Sus scrofa: one gene and its partners. The protein of the gene in region 1 interacts with the protein of each later gene in a pairwise test. Links are inferred from orthologs where the notes say so. Each region holds a gene or a part of one and is shown in the gene's direction. Other genes may lie near its edges. The genes, in order: nuclear envelope pore membrane protein POM 121C-like, TRIP6 and LPXN.

Evidence for each region.
Region 2: the proteins of nuclear envelope pore membrane protein POM 121C-like (region 1) and TRIP6 interact in binary tests that used the Homo sapiens proteins (3 or more experiments, as listed by UniProt). The two-hybrid records come from large-scale screens. The link is inferred for Sus scrofa from reciprocal best matches to the Homo sapiens genes POM121 and TRIP6.
Region 3: the proteins of nuclear envelope pore membrane protein POM 121C-like (region 1) and LPXN interact in binary tests that used the Homo sapiens proteins (3 or more experiments, as listed by UniProt). The two-hybrid records come from large-scale screens. The link is inferred for Sus scrofa from reciprocal best matches to the Homo sapiens genes POM121 and LPXN.

Annotation. Positions count from the first base shown.
Region 1 is NW_018085157.1:59,918-65,748, forward strand, and holds the start of nuclear envelope pore membrane protein POM 121C-like, read left to right. Parts: upstream 1-2,012; 5' UTR 2,013-2,106; coding exon 2,107-5,379; 3' UTR 5,380-5,831. UniProt on the Homo sapiens protein: Essential component of the nuclear pore complex (NPC). The repeat-containing domain may be involved in anchoring components of the pore complex to the pore membrane. When overexpressed in cells induces the formation of cytoplasmic annulate lamellae (AL).
Region 2 is NC_010445.4:8,711,582-8,717,192, forward strand, and holds TRIP6 (thyroid receptor-interacting protein 6), read left to right. Parts: upstream 1-1,639; 5' UTR 1,640-1,798; coding exon 1,799-1,907; intron 1,908-2,199; coding exon 2,200-2,327; intron 2,328-2,419; coding exon 2,420-2,545; intron 2,546-2,832; coding exon 2,833-3,219; intron 3,220-3,515; coding exon 3,516-3,609; intron 3,610-3,717; coding exon 3,718-3,887; intron 3,888-4,373; coding exon 4,374-4,552; intron 4,553-4,809; coding exon 4,810-4,930; intron 4,931-5,026; coding exon 5,027-5,158; 3' UTR 5,159-5,310; downstream 5,311-5,611. Other genes in the region: SLC12A9 (solute carrier family 12 member 9), read left to right, coding at 61-950. UniProt on the Homo sapiens protein: Relays signals from the cell surface to the nucleus to weaken adherens junction and promote actin cytoskeleton reorganization and cell invasiveness. Involved in lysophosphatidic acid-induced cell adhesion and migration.
Region 3 is NC_010444.4:12,532,872-12,538,477, forward strand, and holds the start of LPXN (leupaxin), read left to right. Parts: upstream 1-1,908; 5' UTR 1,909-2,051; coding exon 2,052-2,064; intron 2,065-5,606. UniProt on the Homo sapiens protein: Transcriptional coactivator for androgen receptor (AR) and serum response factor (SRF). Contributes to the regulation of cell adhesion, spreading and cell migration and acts as a negative regulator in integrin-mediated cell adhesion events.

The DNA of each region.
Region 1 (5,831 bases):
GCTTGTATCAATATAAAATTCCTTGTAGGAACTGCTTTTGTAGCATCCTCTATGTTTTGGTATATTGCGTTTCTGTTTTCATTTGTTTAAATGAACAACAGGTAACAACAGGTTATTTTGTTGTAAATCTTTGGATTTCTTATTTGACCCATTGGTAGTTCCGAGTTGTGTTGTTTAGTTTCTGTATGTTTGTAAACTTTCCAGCATTCCTCTTGTTGTTTTTTAGTGTCTTATCCATCATGGGTGAACAAGTTGCTATAGTTTTAAATCTTTTAAAATTTGTGAAAGTTTAACATGATGTGGCTCATGATATGATCTATCCTAAAGAATGTGCTCTGTGCACTTGAGAAGAGTGTTTGTTGTTCTGTTGCGTAGAAATATTTATGTATGCCTGTTAGGACCATTTGGTCTAATTTATAGTTACCATACTCTGCTTTGGCGCTCGAGCTTAATTTTTCCTACATAGGTGCAGTGTGTGTCCTTTGGCCAACATATGCTCATTTCTCCCACCTCTCTGCCCCTGGTGAGCTCTGTTCTAGTCTTTGCTTCTATGTATTCCACTTTTGGATCCTATAAATGAGTGAGATCATTCTATCTTTTTGTGTTTGGTTTATGTGATTTAGCAGGTCTTCCAGGTTCATCTGTTTTGCTGCAAGTGGCCGGATCTCTTGGGCATTTAAGGCTGGATAACACACACACACACACACACACACACACACACACACACACACACACACACACACACACACACACACACACACACACACACACACACACACACACACACACACACACACACACACACACACACACACACACACACACACACACACACACACACACACACACACACACACACGTTATCCATTCATCTGTTGTTGGGCACTTACCTGGTTTTCTTATATTGGTTATGGTGAATGTTCCTGCAGTGAACATGGGAGTGCAGATATCATTTTGAAGTACCGATTTCATGTCCTTCAGTTTGAAATTGCTGTATCCTATGGTATTTTTTTTTTTTTCCTTTAACTTTTTGAGGAATCTCCATGCTGGTTCCCACCATGGCTGTACTAATTTACATTCAAATGAGATGACCTCATTTGGTTTCTTTTTAACCATTCAGATGGAATCATCTGAATGATTACAAGTCATGTAGTCATATGAGGGAACAAGTAATCGGTCCTTTGGAAGTTTTAAAACTGTGGGGCACCAAAGACTATTATTTTGGTCGAATATATTAGACTATTTACCTGTCTATCTATGTAAAGATAGTGTTTTATTTGTGTTCTTTTCTGAATCCTCTAAACATTTTAACATACAGACATGTAGTACGTTTCTCCACTTTCTCATTATTTCAACCGTAGATAAAAATACAAAGATGATGAATCATTCATCATATGGAGATTATGTTTAACATGTCTTAACATGTTACTTAGGTCTATTTCAGATTTGGAAAGTGTTGTAAAATCAAGTACAGTACATCCCACTGAGGTTCCCCTTTTGTCTTCATTGATAGCCTCATCCCCTGCCTGTGTAGCATTATCCTAAAGTTGACATTCTCCAAGCATTTTTATGATATAGGTATATGTGTCTGTATCTTACCTATGTGATTATTTTCACTCAAGTATATCTGGCGCATGCACATTTGTTTTGGGGGTTTTATTTTTGACTGTTTGTTATTATTATTTATTCCGGGGCTACCCTTGCTTGCGTAGTCACGGTGTCTGCAGCAGCTGCGGTGACTGCAGGAGGCAACCTGTGGAGCGGAGGTTGATAGCCAGTGTTAGGGACCTTGGGTCTGTGGGCTGGTGCCGCCAGGGGCAGGGGCAGCGCTGCTGGGCCTGTGGCTGCTGGGCCTCGTGCTGTACTTGGTGCCCGCGGGGGTGGCGGTTACGCTGGCCTGGCTAGCTGTGGGGGCGACCGCGGCCTGGTGGGGCCTGCGCCGCGAGCCCCCCGAGGTTCACGCGCCTTCCGAACCTCGCTGGTTCTGAAGGCGCGCTGCCATGGAACACTGCTCACCTTGCCTCCGGCGTAGTCAGCAGTAAACGGAAGTCTCCTAGAGCCTCCGCGCCTCTTCCAAGGACTTGGACCCGCGCTCATCTGTTCCTCATGGGCAACTACCTAGGCAAGCCCGCCCCCCCGCAGCCTGCCTCCACCTCGGAGGCCAGGGACCTGCGGGAGAGGCCTGGCCGCCGCCCGCCCACCCGCCCCATGCCGCCAGCTCCATCAGGCCATACCCCCGGGGTTCATACTCACCCCTCCCTACCCACTCCTCTTCCCCGACCCTCTAGGAGGACGGCCCTCCGGGGTTGTGGCCCTGTAGCACATCGGTTTGTAATAACACCTCGAAGGAGATACCCAATCCAGCAGGCCCACTATGCCTCGCTGGGGGTCCTTCCCACGGTGTGCTGGAATAGTTGTCACAGGAAGACTGTGCTCTCTGCTCGCAATTCCAAAGTGGTGTGCAGCCCAGTGAGAGTGAGGATTGCTCCTCCGGATAGCAAGCGGATTCGTCCCCCGCTATCAGAGCAGAGTAGCAGCTCAACCGTGTCCTCCCCATCAGCTAGTGCCCCAGACCCATGTGCAAAGGAGACTGTGCTGAGTGCCCTCAGAGCGAGGAAGAAAAGGACGGTGAAGGAGGAAGACCAAATACTGGCTGATGGCCAGGAAGAAAAGAGAAGGCGCCAGGACAGCAGTGGACGTGGACATTCAGCATTTGAGCCGCTGGCGGCCAGTGGAATCCCTGCCTCTTTTGTGCCTAAGCCTGGGTCTCTGAAGAGAGGTCTCAGTCCCCAGAGCTCAGATGCCCACTTAAATAAGAGGTCACGCACCTCTTCTCTGAGCTCCTTGACCAGCACGTACTCAGGCGGCGTGCCCATCTCCAGGCGCAATGCCATCACCAGTTCTTACAGTTCTACTGGAGGTCTCTCTCAGCTGCGGAAGAGGAGTGGTCCTAGGTCATCCCCCTTCTCCAGGCCAGCTTCGTCCTGCTCCCAGGCTCTAGCGAGGCCAGCAAAGGAAATAAGAGAAGAGGAACTTTCTCATCATTCGGCTTCTTCAACTGCATTCACAACAGACAAGGAGTCCCAGGGAGCAGAAGTTGCCGATACCACCACAAGGGAGAAAGAGAACTCGTGGAGTTCTCCACCAACACCTGGCAGCTCAGGGCAGCGTAAGCGGAAGGTGCAGCTGCTGCGGTCCTGGCGAGGGGAGCAGCTGACCTTGCCTCCACCTCCCCAGCTTGGGTATTCAGTCACTGCGGAAGACTTAGACTTGGAAAAGAAAGCTTTGTCACAATGGTTCAGCGAGATCTTGGAGGATAAGACTGATACTGCCTTGAGCGCTGTCCCTGAGAACCCACCTACCGGTCAGCCTCCGGTCTCTTTCAGCCTGCCTACTGCTGGGACTCCTGCCACCAAAACCTCCCTCCCAGCCCCAAGCCCTAGCCCACTGTTGAAGAGCTTGAAGAAGCAGCAGGATTCCCCAGGCCTACCATCGCCCCCCAAGTCTGCTGGCATGGCAAGCCCTGTGGCCCATTCGCCTCCGAAGACACCCAGCCCTCTGGCCCCTCTTGGCTCTTCACAGTCAGGGCCTCTCGCGGGCACCTCCTCGGACTGCAAACCTACAGCCGTTTTCTGTGGCGGCACCCTTACCCCCGCTTCTTCCACAGGACCAGTCACTGACACCAAGTCACCTCCAGCCCCTGAGGCTGAGACGTCTGCCAACTCCCAAGCCTTGTCGGCCCCCCCTCCCCCTCCCAAGCAGAACATTCCTTGTAGAATGCTGGGCACCTCACCTGCTAAGCCTCCTGCCTCTGCAGCTCCTGCTGTGTCTTCACCATCTCCCGTGCTAGATCCCATTTTTTGGCCCCCTCCTAAAAGCAAGAACGAGGGCCCCTTGCCCTCTAGCCCTTCCAAGGTCCCAGCCACCACATCTTCCAGCTCAGCCCTCCCCGCAAGTACCCGCAGCCCATCCCGCACTTTTAAACCTGGCTTTCACACCAGGGAGGCCCCTGCATCCGTGCCCATAGTAACTCCCTTCTTCAAGCAGGCAGCTCCTCCAGCCAGTGCTATGAGCGCCCCTCTCTTCCCTGGCCAGACCCGCGCCACCTCTGCAGTGGCTGCTGCGACCACAGCTGGCACCTCCGTAGACTCTGCTCTGAAGCCCGTGTTCAGCTTCCGTGTGAGCAGCATGACCAGCACCCTGAGCCGCGTGACTAGCACCACCGCTTCCACCTCCCAGCCCGTCCTCTTTGGGACTCCCTCTGCCTCTGGTGGCAGCTTCACAAACCCAGCTGTGGGTTCCAGCTCCATAGTCCAGCTTGGTAAGCCTCCCACCATGCCTCCTTCAAGAGCAGTCACCAGCTTTGGCCAGTCCCTTCCCGGTGCCCCTCAGGCAGTGGCCAGCAGCAGCAGCAGCAGCAGCAGCAGCAGCAGCAGCAGCGCTAGCACTGCTGGCTTTAGTGATTTGGGCAGCAGCCTTCCAGCCTCTGCCCCAGCCACCACCAGCCAGGCCACGCTGACATTCAGTAGCACCCCCCGCCCAGCCATCAGCGTTCCCTTTGGCTCAAGTGCCAAGCCAGGATCCAACGCCCAGCCCAGGTTTGGGGCCACTGATGGGCAGCAGCAGTGGGCTGCCAAGCCATCCCTTGTCCCCAGCTTGTGCAGCTCCTTCACGTTGGGAAACTCTGCAGCCCCCGCCCCGACTGCCACTCCAGCCACAGCCCAGCCAGCCTTTGGCAGCACCACACAGTCCACTCTTGGTGGCCTGAAAGCCACAGCCTCTGCCTCGGGCACCCTTGCCGGCCCCCAGCCAGCCTTTGGCAGCACCACAGCCGTTTTCTCCTTTGGTGCAGCCACCACCTCTGGCTTTGGAGCTACAGCCCAGACCACCGGCAGTGGGGCCAGTCGCTCCAGTAGCACGACACCATCTCCCTTCACATTTGGGGGACGGGCAGCCCCACCGTCTGGCAGCAGAGGCTTTGGGCTCAGTGTGGCTTCGCCAGGCACCAGCTCTGCCTCAGGAGCCTTTGGCTCCGGAGCAGGACAGAGTGGGACCGCTGGCAGCACGACTCCTTTTGTGGGAGGCTTGAGTCAGAAGAGCCTGGGTGCACCCAGCCAGAACACATCCTTTGGCCTCAATGTGGCCTGCAGTGCAGAGAGCCAACCTGTGTTTGGAGGCGCCTCCACGCCCACCTTTGGTCAGAGCACCCCTGGCCCTGGGGTGGGCACATCAGGCAGCAGCCTCTCCTTTGGGGCGTCCTCAACACCCATCCAGGGCTTTGTTAGAAAAGGACCTTCCTTTTCCATTGGTGCGGGACCCAAGCCCCCAGGGGCTTGGCAACAGCTACAGGCCCGGAGGCAGCACACTAGCAAGAAGTAGCCCCTGGCCCTTACCCCCCCTCCCACTCCCCTTTACCCCTCCTGCCAACAACTGGACCTTGGCACCTGCCAGAAAGAGCCTCTCACCTTCTCGTTCCATGAAGCTGAGATCTCTGAACCAGTCCTGCTTCAGCCATGGGGCGGGGAGGAGGAGTGGCAGGTGCAGAGGCTGCTCCCTGTCTTGCAGGAAGCAGAAGGCCGAGGCCTCTGGGGGGATGGGAAGGCAGGAAGGGTGGCCGGGCCGAAGCCTGTGACCTTACTTGAACAGTTGCACTGGTGAGGCTGGCGAGAACTGAGGAAACAGCTGAACAAGGAAGCCTGCTTCCTTCCCTGAGGCTCGCGTGGTATATACGCTTAGTGAGGCAGCTCCCTTGCCAGCGTTTCCCTGAGAGCCAGCTCTGCTGGAGAGTGGCAGGTAGAGACCTCACCCCTTGCATCTCTGATATGCATTTG
Region 2 (5,611 bases), on another chromosome or scaffold:
GAACTCAGCCTGTGACTGATTCCTTGGGGCTCCTTCCTGCCTATCCCTCTCTGCCCCCAGGTGGCATGAAGCCCAACACACTGGTCCTGGGTTTCTACGATGATGCTGCGCCCCAGGACCACTTCCTGACAGATCCAGCTTTCTCTGAGCCTGCTGATGCCACCCAGGAGGGCGGGTCCCCAGCCCTGAGCACCCTGTTCCCTCCACCCCGGGCTCCTGGGAGCCCCCGGGCTCTCAGTCCCCAGGACTATGTGGCCACTGTGGCAGACGCCCTGAAGATGAATAAGAATGTGGTTCTTGCCCGGGCTTGTGGGGCCCTGCCCCCTGAGCGACTGAGCCGGGGTTCCGGGGGTACCTCTCAGCCACATCATGTGGACGTGTGGCCCCTCAACCTGCTGCGGCCCCGGGGTGGACCTGGCTACGTGGACGTCTGCGGCCTCTTCCTGCTGCAGATGGCCACCATCTTGGGCATGGTGCCTGCTTGGCACACTGCCCGCCTCCGGATCTTCTTGTGCCTGGGGCCTCGGGAGGCCCCAGGGGCAGCCGAGGGGCGGCTCCGGGCACTGCTGAGCCAGCTGAGGATCCGGGCAGAGGTGCAGGAGGTTGTGTGGGGTGAGGGGGCTGGGTCCGAGGAGCCTGAGGAGGAGGAGGAGGGGGACTTTGTGAATGGCAGGCGCGGAGACGCAGAGGCAGAGGCCCTGGCACGCAGCGCCAACGCCCTGGTTCGGGCCCAGCAGGGGCGCGGCAGAGGAGGAGGGCCTGGTGGGCCTGAGGGTGGGGATGGCGAGGAAGGGCCCACCACCGCCCTCACGTTCTTGTACCTGCCTCGGCCGCCTGCTGATCCCTCTCGCTACCCTCGCTACCTGGCGCTGCTGGAAATTCTGAGCCATGACCTGGGCCCCACGCTGCTCATTCATGGCATCACCCCTGTCACTTGCACTGATCTCTGATGCCGGTTCCTAGTAGAGAGTGTCCAGGTCGAGTGGCCCACTTTGCTTGGCGGGTTGAGGAGGGGAGGTGCTGCCTCTTGCCCTCCTTGTACTTGGGACTCGGACCCTGGTGGAGGTATTAGGGGAACCTGGTCTTTGGGAGAGGGTCCTCGCTGTGCCCAGGGCAGCTGAGCCGGCGGCCACCACTGGCGAGAAGTCAGCAGCCCTCCCCCACGCTGGCCTCCCTCCCTTCACTGGTGCCTTGACGGGGCTGGGTCTCCGCTTGTGACTCTAGGCTACCTCAGTCTCCCCGCCCCTTGCCCAGTAGACTCCTCACCCTTGAGGTTGTGATGTTTTTGTTCCGTTTTATTTTTCTAACTGCTGAATGTGAATAAAAGACCAAAACACTAGGTGCTGGCCGAGCGTTTCTGGAGGGAGCCGGTAGGGGGGACAGAATGCGGGACGAATCTGTATGCGGGGAGGGGCACTGGAGCATCCCAGCGCAAGGGGGCCACGTGCGGACTTGGGGCACAAGAGCCCCGTGTTAAAGGAGGCTGCCTGAGCCTCCCACCCCCACCCCCCGGGCCCACGCTCTGGAGGAAAGCCGCCCCGGCTCGCAGGAGGGGGCCGACTAGGGGAGGGACGGCAGTTTAGGGCCTAGGGGGCCACGTGACCCTCCCCCAGGAATGCGATGACGTCATCGGGGGCGTGGCCGTCCCCAAAATTGGGGAGGAAGGGGAAAAAAAAAAGCCAGAAAAAGTTTCTGTCCTGGAGTCCCAAGCGAGGTGTCGGGGGGAAGAAGGGGTCAAAGTCAGAGCCCTGGGCTCCGTGGGGCCCTGACCGCTGTCTGGAGTCCCCCATTCCAGACCATGTCCGGGCCCACCTGGCTCCCCCCGAAGCAGCCGGAGCCCGCCAGAGCCCCTCAGGGGAGAGCGCTCCCCCGAGGCGCCTCCGGGCCGCCGCCAGCCCACGGAGCAGGTAAGGCAGCCCCAGTGCGGTGCGGAGGCCACCGGGCCACCAACACTCAACTCTGCCCTGCTGCTCTTGCCTCCCGCTGAGCCTGCCCCTGTCGCCCCTTCCCCAAGCCCGGCTGGAACCCGCCGCGCCCCCGCCCTCGCCCTCTCCCAGCCCTCACTGCCTCCTGCCCCATTCTCGGACCCCAGATGCGGGGGGAGAGGGGTGAAGAGGGACCCAAGACCGGTGGCCTCCACAAGTGTCACCCTCCTCTCCTTCCCCATCCCCACCTTGGCTCTCTCTTCCCTCACCCCAGCACTCCAGTCCCACCCCAGGGTCAATTTTTGCCCCCTCCCATCTGAGCAGTGTTACCAGGCCCCTGGGGGACCGGAGGATCCGGGCCTGGCCTGGGTGGGGTGCCATGGAGCACCCCAACGCTCACAGGTGAGCACCGCGATTAGGGGGTGTGGGGGGGACTTAGGGCAGGAGAAGAGGCCATATGAGTTGCATTCTCCCTGCTTTTGCTCTATCTCCAGGGGCTCCCCCCGGACAGGGGGGCCTTGCGCCCAGGAAGTCTGGATGCTGAGATAGATTCCCTGACCAGCATGTTGGCTGAGTTGGACGGGGGTCGGGGTCACGCCCCACGGCGGCCTGACCGGCAGGTGACTCCCCGCTCCTGTCCCTCCCTGTCCTTGTCCCCCACCCCTCCCCCGCAACCTGGTTCCTGCTCTGTATTCTCACTCCTCTTCTCCCTCCACATGGGGGATGCACCCACCAGCGAGGAGGAAGCTGGGCCACCAAAACGTACTAGGTTGCCAGCCACTCAAGGACGGGCCCTTGTCAAAACCAGTGCTTACCTGGGTGCCACAGACACAGGGTTCAGGGGTTCCACAGATGTGTGTTCTGGATTGGGCCCAGCTCATGCCTTCTGGTCTGTGCTTCTCTCCAGGCTTATGAGCCCCATCAGCTCCCTGCCTACCGCTCAGGCCCTGGCTCCCTGAAGCCGAATGGAGGGAGTGTTCCTCCCACACCACTCCCAGCGGCCTCCTATGGCGGCCCCACGCCGGCCTCCTATGCTACGGCCAGCACCCCCGCCGGCCCTGCCTTCCCTGTGCAAGTGAAGGTGGCACAACCAGTGAGAGGCTGTGGCCCCCCCAGGCGGGGGGCCCCTCAGGCCTCGGGGCCCCTCCCCGGCCCCCACTTTCCTCTCCCAGGCCGAGGTGAAGTCTGGGGGGCTGGCTACAGGAGCCACCGTGAGCCAGGGCCAGGGGGTAAAGAGGAGGCTGCCGGAGTCTCCGGCCCTCCGGGAGGAAGAGGAGGCGGGTACGGGCCCCAGGTAAGCCCTGGGCCCTGGGATTTGGGGTCCTCAAAGACAGTTGGATGCTGACTGGGTGGGGTGGGGGTGGGGGTTGATGTTCCAGTTTTCAAGCTCTGGATTCCCTGGGGGCGGGGGGCAGGTCAGGAAATAAAGGAGGGAGGGGACTAGATCTGCACACTGGCTCCCAGAGGCACACCCCTGGCCCCTGGGCTGGGGTGTTCTCCTGTGAGCTTTTGGGTGGAATTGCCTGATCACTCTCGGTGACAGTATTGGGAGGGAGAGGTAGGATTGAACCCCTGATTCTCACCTCCCAGGTCCCCCTGAGCCAGCCTCCCGAGGAGGAACTTGAGAGGCTGACCAAGAAGCTGGTGCAGGACATGAACCACCCGCCCAGTGGGGAGTACTTCGGTGAGCTGCCCCCCGCCACACACCCCGGGCAGGGGGTGGGGGGAGGTCAGGTAGACAGTGGGTCTGGCTTCCCAGTCTATGGTTGACCCTGACCCATCCCGTCCCCAGGCCGGTGTGGTGGCTGCGGAGAAGATGTGGTTGGGGATGGGGCCGGGGTTGTGGCCCTGGACCGTGTCTTTCACGTTGGCTGCTTTGTCTGTTCTACGTGCCGGGCCCATCTCCGGGGCCAGCATTTCTATGCCGTGGAGAGGAGAGCGTATTGTGAGAGCTGCTATGTGGTGAGTGGTGGGGGCTGGCGGGGGGTGGTGGCAGATGGAGTCAGCAGCAGGAAGCAGGGGGCTTCCATCCAGAGTGGGAACTAGGTGTCCAAGCCCCAAAGAATAAGGCTCGAAGCAGGAGAACTAAAACTAATAAAGAAAAAGGCATGGATGAAATAAGTAGCTGTATACTGGTTGCTGGAGAGAAAGGACAACATTCCCCTGTAAGAGTGAGGCATTTATTTTCGGTTTAGGGGAATGTGCTGAATCCCCACAATGCCCTGGTGAGGCAGCTGTTACTCCTGAAGGAAACTGAAGGTCTGAGAGCTTAAATATCTTGTCTGGGGAAGCTGCAGTGCTAGGATTTGCACGCATACCTGTTCAAGGCCACCTTTAACTGAATCACATGCAGGGGGCTACATAAATAGGTGGGGGAGCTGGCAGGATGCCTGTAAGGGCTGCCATGGGTCACCCCAGCCCTGACCTTCCTGCTCTCCTTCCTGACAGGCCACCCTGGAGAAGTGCTCCACCTGTTCCCAGCCCATCCTGGACCGGATTCTGCGGGCCATGGGGAAGGCCTATCACCCTGGCTGCTTCACTTGTGTGGTGTGCCACCGCGGCCTCGATGGCATCCCCTTCACTGTGGATGCCACCAGCCAGATCCACTGCATTGAGGACTTCCACAGGTCAGCTAGGTCATCAACCTTTGTCTCAGGATGTCTGGCCTGGCCTTTCCCATCTTCCTTATCTCTCCTTCATATCCCAGTACCAACCTCTCATGTTTTGCGCCCCTGGCCATGCCTCATTCTTGGTAACACAACTCTCTTCCATAAGATCCAAGACCCTACCTCTGGCCTATCCTGTTCCCTCCCACCCTGGGCTTCGTTGTTGGTCCCCTCCAATCCTGGGGCTTGACAGCCTCCTTGGTTCCCTTCCACTCTAGGAAGTTTGCCCCACGATGCTCAGTGTGTGGTGGGGCCATCATGCCTGAGCCCGGTCAGGAGGAGACTGTGCGAATTGTAGCTCTGGACCGCAGTTTTCACGTTGGGTGTTACAAGTGCGAGGTCAGGGGGCCTGGGGCGCTGGGTATGGTAGAGCACAAGAAAGAAGGGGCTCAGGGATCCAGGCCTGATGAAAAGCTACTGTTTCTTTCCAAACAGGAGTGCGGGCTGCTGCTCTCCTCTGAGGGTGAATGTCAGGGTTGCTACCCGCTGGATGGGCACATCTTGTGCAAGGCCTGCAGTGCCTGGCGCATCCAAGAGCTCTCAGCCACCGTCACCACCGACTGCTGAGTCTTTCCCAGAAGCACCTACTCTGTTCTCCCTTCCCATCAACCACCCTCCCTGACATCTACCTTTATAATGTTGTCACCAAATGCCATCTTCTCTTCCTCTAATCATGAAATAATAATCCCTCAAGAGTGTACAAAACACTTTGAAGTCTATTGTCTCATCTGATGCTTTTTTTGCTTTTTAGGGCTGCACCTGTGGCATATGGAAGTACCCAGGCTAGGGGGTCAAAACAGAGCTGCGGCTGCCACCTATGCTGCACTTCTGGCAACACTGGATCCTTAAACCCCTGATCGAGGTCAGGGATTGAACCCACATCCTCATGGATGCTAGTCAGGTTCTTAACCCCGCTGAGCCACAATGGGAACTCCAGTCCTGGGTGTATTTTACAACTCCTCTAAATCCCCCTTTTAGGGTAGTTTCTGTAGAACGCCCCCCCACCCCCACCCCAGCACT
Region 3 (5,606 bases), on another chromosome or scaffold:
TTAGATGTCGCCGGGGACAAGGAACTGGCGTCAGTTGCTTAACCTGGCTGTGGTCCCTGGGCTGGAGAGAAGGATGAAGGGTTGTTTGCGTGACTCTGGTGACCCACCCAGAAAATTGAAGGCCTCCTTCACACCCCCCGCCCTGAAGCCGTGTGCTTCTGTGGTTTTTACTTGTTTTGTGTTGCACAGGAAGCGTGGTCAGAATAGCAGCTTTGTCAGAAATTACTTTTCTCTCCACCAACATGTGCAACTAAATTGCCCTAATGCATCAAAACGAAGTTTCCATTTGCTCATCTTCAAGTTGGATTTGGTGAGGGTAGTGAGCCTCTTGCGTTCCTTCCTTTCTGACTTTCATCTATTATAATCAAGAAGCGATCTGCAGGAACGATTCTTAACCATGGAAAATAAAACTCCGGAATTAAAAGTCTCCAAAGTAAATGAATAGAAACAAGATCTTGGGATCCAGTTTTAAGTGTCACATGAATCATTCAGTTAAACTGCAGTTGGAGTCCCACATTTGCAAGCCAAGGGCTGAGAACATTATTCCTTCCAGTGTTTTGGTTCAGTTACCACTTCAGATGGGCCAATGTTCATAGTCTTTGTGGAATGTTTCGCACTTTCATGGGGCTACTGGCATTTCAACTGTAAAAACTGTCATAGTGTAGATGGAAAATTTTCAAACCCCCATTTGCAGTGAGCATACTTTTAGAATGGCACTGACATCCAATGGCTGCTCAGAGTAATGCAGAGGTGGGATCTCCTTTATGTCAAAAAAAAAAAAAAAAAAAAAAAAAGTTTTGAGAGTCACAATGGAATGAAATGGAGAACAAATGATTCCTTTAGAGTAACCTAAATAGAGATCACTCTGTTGTAGAGGAAAGATTACAAACTTGGAAGATAAATCTATCTTATAGCAAGTTACAAAGCTACCTACTAATTCTGTTATCTTTAGCAAGTTACTATTATCTATTTCACCACTGGTAAAAATGAGGGTACTATCTATATCACAGAGCCATAGTTTTAGTTCTTTAAATACTGCCTTCTCATATTAGGCTTTTTTTAAATGTTTTATTCAAGGTGAATAAAATCACAGCAGTAAAAAAAAAGTGAAAGTTAATCTCAGTGTGACTTTTCAGAAAAACTGCTATAAGGCAGTAGGCAGGAATTGTGCTTAATTGAGATGTCTGCAGCTTAGAACCTGGTGTCTCAAATCTCCCAGTTTCATTCTTCACAACCCCTATAGTTTGCATTTTGAACCACTGAAATAAACCTGGCCGAGGGAATTAAAATGTAACCTGGTCCTGATAATCCTGTTCTGCCTTTAATGGGTTGACAGTCTATTTAGGAAAGCAGGTGAGCATAATTTCCAGATAAGTAAAGACAGCAAAATGAGGAGCTCCTGCTGTGGCTCAACAGGATGCATGTTCAATCCCCAGCCTCACACACTGGGTTAAAGATCCAGTGTTGTGGCAGCTATGACTGAGGTCATAACTGCGGCTGGGCTCTGATCCCTGGCCTGGGAACTCTATATCTGCTGAGCGACCAAAAAAAAAAAAAATGAATTGGGTGCTGGTTAACTCTGATGAGAATTTTATGAAGGAGAATTTTATGAAAAGCATGAACCCCAGCTTCACAGAAAAAGAAAAAAAAAAAAAAAGATTCTCTGATACACAGTCACACACTGGGAAAAAACACAAGTGCAAATCTGCTATTCCCATGAATTCAAGATGGATCCTGGCACATAGGAGTTTCTCAAAATTTTCAAAATTAGGTTTGAATCTTTATCACCCGAGCCAATGCACAATGAGAACTCAAACCCAACTACCCACCTTTTCTATGTCATTTTAAAAACTCTGACCTGCAAAAGGACAAGAGAGAAAGAAACCCACCAAATCAAGGGAGAGGAAGTGCTAGGCAAATAGAGGAACCAGAAAGGGTTATAGAGGCTGCTGCGTGCTGCCTCATTCAGTTCCTTTGTGGTCCTGTTCTTCAGCACTTGCCAAAGCAGTTCCTCACAACCTGTGGTACCAGGGCATCTTGGGTGTGAGACAATGGAAGAGTTGGGTGAGTGAGGAGCTTCTTGGAAGAGAAACTCTGGGGGAATGAATGCTTGGCTGCCATCTCCTCGTGTGGTGGGATAAGGAAGGGTAGTGTTGGAGGATTTTATTTTCACTTCTCTCCTGACTTCAGGCCAAGAGTGAAGCATGAGGGACTGTTATTTTGGGGAACTATGGGTTCACTGTTTTCAGAGGCACAGTAGACAGAGAATTTGGTGCTAACCACAGAATAAACTGCACAAATACTTTTGGACTGAATTTTGATTGAAATTGTTATTTTGTTATGAGAATTTTGCTCCTATGAGTTGCTAGAGATCCTAGAGTGGTCACAGAATTGGCAAACCTCAGAGATGTGATTTAGGGAAAAAACAGAAAGAAGGGGGGCAGTTAAAGTGTTATGAGGAGAAGAAATGGGATAGAAGTAGAAGAAGGAGGGATCCCCAAAGATTGGAGAAAGTGGTTTCCTTTGTTCCATGGTGCAGCGTTAAATCAAGAAGATGCAGCCCTCTAACACTAGTGCTTTCATTGCTAAGGTTTTACCGAGAGCAATTCTGAAGGCACAGATTACTGTGGACTGTGAATATATCTCCTTCTATTCCAAAACAATTGAAACCAGAAGAGAAACTATGGGCCCCATTGCTTGGAGAGATCCCTGGTTTCAAATCTTTGGAGTAATGTAAGGTTTGATATTCTTGGGACTCATTCCATATCCTTTGCCAACTTTCGTTGCCATCGTCCCTACTAACACAGTCACTAACATTTATCCACTATCCAAGCTGTGTAATTCCACAGTGTCCAGGGTTTTTGTCTGTTTGGGGTATGTCAAAAGTGCGGACAACAACATCAGCAAAATGTATCTTGCAGGTTGTCTATTAAAAAAACTAACTTGAGATCTGGAGGAGTAGAGGAAGGAACAAAGGCAAATTATAGGAGGGAAGAGATGTTAATGAAAAGGAAAAAAAAAGGAAAAGGGTATTTAATAAATACTGAATTGTTTTGGACGTAAAATCTCTTTTGAAACTTGGAGTAGAATATAAACTTTGCACTTGGGGTAGAATCCAAATTCTTATTCTCTGCTAGGGGTGGGGAAATTCACATTCCTGTCTGAGTTCCACTAGAGTCAAGCTCTCTTTTTTTATTTTTTATTTATTTTTTTTTTTTTTGTCTTTTTGTTATTTCTTGGGCCGCTCCGGGGGATATGGAGGTTCCCAGGCTAGGGGTCCAATCGGAGCTGTGGCCGCCAGCCTACGCCAGAGCCACAGCAACGCAGGATCCGAGCCGCGTCTGCAACCTACACCACAGCTCAAGGCAACGCCGGATCGTTAACCCACTGAGCAAGGGCAGGGACCGAACCCGCAACCACATGGTTCCTAGTCGGATTCGTTAACCACTGCGCCACGACGGGAACTCCATTTTTTTTTTTTTTTTTTTTTTTGTCTTTTTGTTATTTCTTGGGCCGCTCCTGCGGCATAGCTCTCTTTTTTTAACTAGGGATATTTCATGGCTTTCCTGCAGGTAATTGGAAAAGGTAATAATACTTATTCAATGACTTAAGCTAAAACTAGACATTTTTACATATGCTAATTATTTTAGTGTTCCAAGCAACTCTTTGAAATAGGTAGTACCCACTTTTTTTTTTTAATCCAATTGAGAAAACTAAGAAAAACAAAATAATTTGTTCAGTGCCACTCTTTAGAACATCTGATAGCGAAACTGATTAAGCCACAAGCTGTTCTATTTTAGAAGTGTGTTGGCTCAGATGTTCCAGCCAGTAGGCTAACCCAGATAATTTTTTAAAAAATTAAAAAATAGATTTGCGCAGTTTTGCATTTCCTTAGCAGGATGAATGGTAAGAGTAATGTGGTCCAGAAATGTAGAAAGCATCCGGCATCCTGTATATATATCCTAGGAGATATATATATATTTTATATATATATATATAAAATTCATGCATATTATCCAGGTGATTAAACTTCATCAGGCTGTTAATAGCTACACCTCGAAGTCTCCTTTAAATTGTCATCAGCTCAGTAACTACCCCCTCTTGGACCTAGGGTGAACTTTCTTCTCCAATGGGGAGAAATAGAACGGAGGACAGGTCTGGCCAGGCGGGCTGATATTTCCTCTCTGCTGTACTTCCCCCAGGGTTAGTAGTTTGTATCCAGAAGGTCTGACCTAAACCCTCATGATAAGGGGATGCTAGATAAAGGGGAACTTGGAGCAGACTCTGGCTCTGAATGAAGTCATTGCAGTCTAGTGTGACTCCCAAGAGACTTCACTTAATTCCTTCAATGTGAATGTTGATATCATTTGATTTCTGCAGATGAAGAGCTATAGAAAAGGACAGTAGGGTTTTCAGTCTAATAAAATCCCCCACACAACAATAATCCCGTATGTATTTGTCATACTGAAATTAGTCATCTTCAAATTATAGAATCAGGCAAAAGGCCAGATAATCTGGGGGTGTTAGTACACTCAGAAAACAGGAAGAGAAAGGCCTGTTAACTCATGACCCAGAAAGGAGTGTTTTAGTAACTTTGGTTAGCTGATGCTGCCTGGATAATGTTGCACTCTTGGTGGTACATTTTGCTTCTCTTGTAGAGGGTCTTTGGTCTCTCCTCATCTTTACTGTAAATGCCTTTTTATTTTGAATCCAAGAGGATCTGTGACTTTTGGTTGGAGCGAAGCTTACAAAATAGAAAAGAAAGAGGCTATATCTTTTTTTTTTTTTTTTTTTTTTTGTCGTTTTAGGGCCACACCTGCAGCATATGGAAGTTCCCAGGCTAGAGGTCAAGTTGGAGCTGCAACTGCTGGCCTCCACCGCAGCTTACAGCAACACTGGATCCTTAACCCACTGAGCAAGGCCAAGGATCAAACCTGCATCCTCATGGATGCTAGTCAGGTTCCTTAACCACTGAACCATGACTGGAACTCCAAGAGGCTATATCTTAATAGAGGACCACTGAATAAAAATTTGGAACTCAGCAATTTGGTGTTCAGTCTGGCTTGCAAAGTCTTGAGAGAAAAAGGTTACTTTCCCTTCTTACTGTAGTTTTCTTTTTCTTTTAAAAAACGTTTTATTGTGGAGACTTTTAAAATTGACGGAAGGAGAGTTCCCGTCGTGGCTCAGCGGTAATGAACCCATCTAGTATCCATTAGGACTCGGGTTCAATCCCTGGCATCCCTCAGTAGGTTGGGGATCTTGTGGTGCCATGAGCTGTGTGTAAGTTGCAGGCGTGGCTGGGATCCTGAGTTGCTGTGGTGTAGGCTGGCAGCTGTGGTTCCGATTTGACCTCTAGCTTGGGAATTCCATATAGCGGAGTGTGGCCCTAAAAAGACCAAAAAAAAAAAAAAAAAATTTGACAAAAGGAAAGAAATCTGATGTACCCATCAACCACCTTAAATATTCATCAAGTTTTATTCAATCTTATTTCATTTATACACCCAATCATTCCTTCCATTTCTAGTTTATTTTAAAGCAATTGCATACATTATATCATTTCATCTGTAAATATTTCAGCATATATATATGTATATACATTTATACAT